Sus scrofa: one gene and its partner. The protein of the gene in region 1 interacts with the protein of each later gene in a pairwise test. Links are inferred from orthologs where the notes say so. Each region holds a gene or a part of one and is shown in the gene's direction. Other genes may lie near its edges.

Region 1 (2,807 bases):
CGATCTTAAGTTGAATAGGCATTTTCAGTATAAAAGCTGAGTCCTTCTGTTTCTCCAAAAATTTAGACAGTAAAACACTTTACATTTATGTAGAGGATAGAAGAAATTGTATGACATTCAAAGTTTTGGTTTCGTATTTAGACATTACCGTGAGTAAAATGCATTAGATATTTAATTTACTTGTTAAAATTTAAGCTTGCTCTTAATGATTTTAGTCAGGGTCTTCACTGAGTAAAGTTTAGTTCTTTTCAAATTATTATCTTTGTATTTCTGATCCTGCTAGTCCTTTTAACTTGAATTTGGGAGATATGGAACTAGTCAACTAAATACTCTGCTTGGTGGTGGTAACATTGGACCATCTTTGACACTCTGCTGGTTTGGCAGTTTCCCTCTGTGACCTTTTCCAGTTTTATTCATGGACTATGTCAAAAAGCTTTCTTTCATGAGTAAATTTTGAACCCAGGTTCAAGGTGAGTTCAGAATATACTCAAATTCATTCAATCCTTTTTATTTTTTTTAATGCAGGGTTGTACATATTTTAATAATTTTCTTATGTATCTGGTATTTAATGCTGACAGGATTCCAGTCAATGGAGAGGTTTCATTGCAAGTAGCTGCAGGTGTGTTTCATGGTAGAGATAAAAGTTTTTAGTGAAGCAGACCTTTTCTTTTACAAAATTTTACATCCTAGTAACTAATGAATATAGATGTTGCTTTTTGTGGGGCAATATGATATGCTTTCATGTGTTACCTTGTTACTGCTAAGCCAGAAGTTTGAATTATAAAGGCAAAAAAGATTTTAAGAATTGTGAAAATGGGCACTTAATGTTTATTCTTAAATGGCTTAGTTTTTATAGTGTGAATAAACCTTAAAGCATCTCATTAGCACAGTAAGATGTTTGTAGCACTATTGTTTCATTTAATATTCTCTACAATGTTTTTTTTATTTGGTACTGTTTTAAGGCTTCCCCTCAAAACCAGGTTAATAACTAGCTTTTGAATTAATTTCTACACTTATCATTTGAGCATCTACTGTATATACTGGGAGTTATGCTAGAATAGGCACTTGCTCTCAGGGATTATATAGTTTAGAAGAAGTTGCAGTAGAAGAATATATGTAGTAGTTTTAGTTTTAGAGGATTTAAGAAATTATCTGGAAAACACTTCTTTGATACTATGTGGTCTTGAAATATGGAATCTACTACTCTACTTGTTACAAAAGTACTCAGGATTAAGTTTGTTAAATTTCTCATCATTTTTGGTCCATAACCGTAAGACTAATTCTCTGAAAAATGTTTACCAAAAGAAAAAATAAGATCTGCATGTTTTGCCTTTTCAGCAGGCTATAGTCAGCAGACCGGACCCCAACAACCTCAGCAGTTCCAGGGATATGGCCAGCAACCAACTTCCCAGGCACCGGCTCCTGCCTTTTCTGGCCAGCCTCAGCAGATGCCTGCTCAACCACCACAGCAGTACCAGGCGAGCAGTTACCCTCCACAGACTTACACTACCCAGACTTCCCAGCCTACTAATTACACTGTGGCCCCTGCCTCACAACCTGGAATGGCTCCAAGCCAACCCGGGGCCTATCAGCCCAGACCAGGTTTTACTCCACCTCCTGGAAGTACCATGACCCCTCTTCCAAGTGGGTCTAACCCTTATGCACGTAGCCGTCCTCCCTTTGGTCAGGGCTATACCCAACCTGGACCAGGTTACCGATAAAGAGGCTCAGTTACACTGATGATTGTAGCTGCTAGCTCTTTGCCTCCCAAAAGACTCCAATACTACTATTTTAATTTGTATTGAAGTTCAGAAATTTAAAAAGCAGAGCATTTTTTATTGTTGCTGTTAATTGAGAGTATAATTTGCTGGGAAAAAAAAAAAGACCAAAATGAAAGTTCTTTTCCTCCCTTGCTTAAAATAAGTGTAGCAGCTTCCTAGTTACTTTGGAACACTACTCTTAAATGTGTGCAAAGTGATTGACTTTCTAGCTTGCCTTGTCCAGAGGATATTAAAATGCTAGGTTGAAGTTCAGTCATCTTACTTGGCTTTTTACTATTAACATGATGTACTAAAGTAGATTCCTTTGAAAAGACAACTAGATATTATGTATAAAATGTAACACTGATAGGTTAATAAAGATGATTGAATCCATTAATGGTCTTGTAATTTAATTTAGTCATTGACACTATATAGACATGAGAAAAAAAGCAATAGAAATTGATGTTTTGGTCTTGAAATGTAGACATTTTATCTTATGCCTTTCTATTCAGAAATGCACAGTCCTGTTGAATTTTGTCCTTTGGCTTAAACCAATGAAACTTGAAAGTGGATTTCACGGAAAGATAGATTAGCATTATACATAAACACAATAGATACTGTATTAAAAAATACAAAGAGAGGATCCTAACTTAGAATTTTCCTTACAGAGGTGAACCATTCAGCGATAACTCAGTCTTAAAAAAAAACTACATCTCTTTATTGCAGAGTTAATACTTGTTTGAAAAACATAAAATGTAGTATTGATAAAATTGAAGCATGTTGAAAGGATGCAAAGAAAGTTCCTTTAAGAATGAGGGCAACAATGCAACATTCCCATCTCTCTCCCCAAATGAAGTGGAACACTACTTTTGTAAATTAAAATGAGATTTTCATTACGAGTTGAGTTAGATAGAATTATGAAAACAGCCTTGGTAACATTCATTCCTAGAGATTTTCTGTGTTAAAAATATAGTAAATACCCTATAAAATAATAGGGATTTCATCATGCATTATCCTTTTGTGCTTTAGACTTTACAGTTTCTGCAT
Region 2 (4,420 bases), on another chromosome or scaffold:
TTTCATTCCATGGCTCTCTGAGCAGCTTTAAATGTGGACCAAACATGAAGTAGCACTTAACCAGGCCTTGGAAGCTTGATCTTCTATGGCCAGGAGAAAGAACTCAAGTCTCTATGTCCTCACAGAGCATTCACAGTCTTGAATGTCTCTGTGTGCTTTACCTCCTACATTGTCTAATATTCTTAGTGTCACCGACAAAATTGGATAAGAACTCAGGACTTCTCCACAAAACTTTTTCTGTCAATGTGCCACAAATCTTGCCTGTGGTTTCCCAATTATTTGATTCTCCACTACATACTCTTTCTCTTCTACTCAAAGCCCCAAAAAACAATAGTCCCATTTATGTAGAAATGCATCTTTCCTAGTTTTTCCCCTACCTCTTCATACAGCACCTACTTCATTGTTCTAATTGAGGTTCAGTCATAATACCTACAACAGTAACAGTCAATACCTCCTGTCCTCATTCTGCTACAACTTGGAGGCAAAAGAAATGTGTCACTCTGGGAGTATGGCAATGAAGGGAAGACCCTCATAGACAATAGCAATGAGGCATGGGGTCACAAGCACATGGCCTATAACTGAAACCCAATTATAAAACACCACGAGCTTAGGAAATAGCCCTTACATACCTCTTCTTTTATAAACAGTAGGGGTGGTTAAATGAAGTGAAAGAATCAACAGTCCATTCTCCACAAATGGCTGACGGCAGAACATGCCCTGGCTAAGTGCCTCAACCTATTCTTCAGCGGTTCATTATTCTGGGCCATCAATCCACTATTACCAAATCTTAAGCTCTAACCAAAAATGGCAAAGAAAGAAAAGAGTTACGTCGTTAAATTCTCTGAGTTATACTGGTGGGCACTTAAGCATTCAGCCTCTGGAGCGAAAGCAAGCTGAGCTCAAATCATGACTTAGTTGCTAATTGCGTACTACTAGCCAATTACATTTCCTGTTCTAATGTTTTCTGATGCCCTGCCAGCCAACATCCTCCACGGCCTCGCCCCCTCACCATCAAGCACGTGAAGTCCACAGGCTAAGAGAGCAGACGGGGTCTGTTCTGTGTTTACCTCCCCATCTTCTCAGTATGTTGGCGCTTTGGCATTGGGTGCCCCTCATTCTCTAGGGTGCCGTAACTCTGTTTCCTCATCTCCCTCAGTGGGTACAGAGCTTTTGAGAAAGGATAAAAATGCACCCCGCTGGGGCGGGGCCAAGCATTTCCCCTCCCCTAACAGGGCGGAACTAAAAGGAAAGGGACGCAGCGTTTATCGACTTTCCGGTTACCATGGTAAAGCCGCCGCCGCCGCCATCGTTATTGTGGTCGACAATTACTTGCGTTAGCTTAAGAAAATAATGAACAATAAAGAATTATGCAGACTAAAAGCCTTCAAATTAGCCGAGCTCCAACACGGAACGTAGTTTTTCTCAGGCTGGAGCCCAGCCGGGAGGGAGTTAGCGCTCTCCTGGACGTGACGCGCGCCTGCTATGACGAAATGACGCCAGGGGAGGGGCCCTGCGTCCGGCCGGCTCAGAAGCGTCCGGCTCACGCGCCGTACAGAAGCGTGTTCGGCGCTGGGCTCATGCGCCGTACGGAAGTGTGCTCTGGCGCACCGGAAGCCCCCGGAAGAGAGCGATGGCGGGTTTGACTGTGAGAGACCCTGCGGTGGACCGTTCGCTACGTTCGGTGTTCGGTGAGAGGAATTCGGTGGATCCAAGCGTCCGGGAGGGAGAGAAAAAGACAGGGAACGCCGAGGAATGCCGTCCTGCATCTCATGAATCGCTGCAGGAGCCGGTGATGGGTCGGGCTTGCGCTCGACCTGCCTGTCCTGTCGGGCGGCCAGCTTGGTGGGCTCGTGGGCAAAGTGATGCTCCCCTTCCCCCGAGGCCTCAAAGCCTTTGCAAGATGTGGCCGAGGAAGTTAAACTAGCGTTCAGCTTCTATGCGTTTTCCTTTCGTGAGCCTCAATTATTATATAGAAGCGAGGGCTCATGGCAACTGCCCCGTACTACTCACCCCCTATCCCAGAATACAGTTTATATGCTGAGGATATAGATCTTTCTGTCCACTTCCCGCCCTCTCATAAGGGCTTTCATCCTCTGCTTTTCACATTTTAGTTCGTCGTTAGTGGTAGTGGCCACCCGGCGTCTTAAGGTGAACTGTAAATAAATGAATGAATGAATGATTAAGACCTATTCAGAGAAATTTTAAAGAGGGTCGAGTCTATTCTGAGCAATCTTTCAGGCCGAAATAAGTTGATTTTTAAAAGTATCTGGCGATTTTAAAGCACCTTTTGGGAGGGACATGACAAAATAGTTCAGAATAACTTTTAAACATCCTCTACGACATTCGTGGTCATTCTCCTTTGAGTGTGTGTATATGTGGAAATACTGGCATAGGAGCCGGCTTCATATATTATAATATTGACATTTTTAGCAGTTATTTATGACTTGCAGACTTTCAGGTAAATACCAATGCCTAAATATTTATTTTCACCATACTTAAGAAAAATGTAACACCTGTCAGTTCAGTCTAAGAACTAATACTTAGGGCATACACCTTTTGTGTTTCGTCTCAATGGTTTATTCCTCTTGTAATTAAAGTCAGTAGACACCATTGAATTCTTGTCTAAGAGAGTACAATGGAATCGGGATTGGAGGAACGTTGTGTTTGAACCAGTTGTTACATTTTCAGTGATATATGTAAATGTTTTCTTACTAAAGACCTAGATTACAAACTCAGAATTTTAATATATTATCTATTTCCTTCCTTAGTGGGGAACATTCCTTATGAGGCTACTGAAGAGCAATTAAAGGACATCTTTTCTGAGGTTGGACCTGTTGTTAGTTTCAGGTGAGATCCCCTTTTACTCCTTGGTGGAAATTTCTTAAAAATCACCACAAATTGGCCCCTAGTAATAATGGCAAAGTTTTTATTGGTGACTTTTCACATGCACAAAAAAATTCTTTTTTGTTTGTAACAGCTTTATTGAGATGTAATTCACACACCATATAATTCACATTCATTTTTGCTAAAAGATACATTTTTTTTTGGCCCACCCCTGGCATATGGAAGTTCCCAGGCCAGGGATCCAATCTGCACCACAGCAGTGAGCCAAACTGCTGCAGTGACAACATTGGATCCTTAACCCACTGTGCCACAAGATAACTCCTAAAAGTTACCTTTTTTTCCCATTTAGAAAGATGTGTAAAAAATATTTCAGTGACACGGAGCAGTAAGGTTGTCTTAAAGTAAACCACATTAGAACACAGCAATGTTAGTGGAAAACCTGCATGTATATAACATTCATGCCTGATACTTGGTTCTGCTCTCCAGGTTGGTATATGATAGGGAGACAGGAAAACCAAAGGGTTATGGCTTCTGTGAATACCAAGACCAGGAGACAGCACTTAGTGCCATGCGAAACCTAAATGGGCGTGAATTCAGTGGGAGAGCACTTCGAGTGGACAATGCTGCCAGCGAAAAGAACAAAGAGGAGCTGAAGAGTGAGTAAAAACCCAAGCTGTATGCAACATGAGTTAGTAAAGATGTAACAATGGAGATTTGCCACATAATCATATGTTTTAGCATCTGCTGAAATGGTTTTCAGCTACACAACATCTTTATTTGAGCCATCTGAGAGCTGCCTGCATTAGGGCAGTGTACACCTTTGAGAAATAAGTAAAGTTGACTTAAGACCTTCCGTTACCAAGGAATTGATTTCCAGCTGAAGATGAATTACAGGCTCAGGAAGCCGTTAGTAGTGCTAACTATGTCTGTCATTAGTGTCCGCCACTCCTATAATTATGTTACCAGATCTATAACTGGTAAGGATACCAAGGCATTCTCGTGGCTTTTTTTTTCATGAAGTAACAGAATCCAGAAATTCCATTTTGAAATTAGAATTAAACCCTTTTAACTGGGTCACAGTAGAAAAAAAAAATTGTATTGGGGAAATAACAATTAAAAAAAATTGTAAAAAAAAAAAAAAGAAACATTTTGCTTATGAAATGATTTGTAAAAGGAAATGGATATGCCTAGCCCCTAATTTAAGTTAATATTGTTCACTTCTGTGACCCTGGTGCCAGCTTTCCTCTGAGAGCAGAAGATACACTCTGTCACTTTCCTCCACAGAAATATGAGACTTGAAAATCACTTATTTCTCAGCTCCAGAAAATTTAAAGTTATCAACAGGGTCTTACAGCAACTCTGTAAAGAGTAGATACTTGAAATCGTTTAGCTCTTTATACTGCCTCCTTAACTTTCTTGTACTTTCTTCCCAATCAGGTCTTGGCACTGGTGCCCCTGTCATTGAGTCACCTTATGGAGAGACCATCAGTCCCGAGGATGCCCCTGAATCCATTAGCAAAGCAGTTGCCAGTCTTCCACCAGAGCAGATGTTTGAACTGATGAAACAAATGAAGGT

The links.
Region 2: the proteins of TFG (region 1) and CSTF2 interact in binary tests that used the Homo sapiens proteins (3 or more experiments, as listed by UniProt). The two-hybrid records come from large-scale screens. The link is inferred for Sus scrofa from reciprocal best matches to the Homo sapiens genes TFG and CSTF2.

The regions. Positions count from the first base shown.
Region 1 is NC_010455.5:158,290,440-158,293,246, reverse strand, and holds the end of TFG (protein TFG), read left to right. Parts: intron 1-1,338; coding exon 1,339-1,721; 3' UTR 1,722-2,157; downstream 2,158-2,807. UniProt on the Homo sapiens protein: Plays a role in the normal dynamic function of the endoplasmic reticulum (ER) and its associated microtubules. Required for secretory cargo traffic from the endoplasmic reticulum to the Golgi apparatus.
Region 2 is NC_010461.5:82,507,209-82,511,628, forward strand, and holds the start of CSTF2 (cleavage stimulation factor subunit 2), read left to right. Parts: upstream 1-1,530; 5' UTR 1,531-1,630; coding exon 1,631-1,688; intron 1,689-2,768; coding exon 2,769-2,847; intron 2,848-3,330; coding exon 3,331-3,500; intron 3,501-4,281; coding exon 4,282-4,418; intron 4,419-4,420. UniProt on the Homo sapiens protein: One of the multiple factors required for polyadenylation and 3'-end cleavage of mammalian pre-mRNAs. This subunit is directly involved in the binding to pre-mRNAs.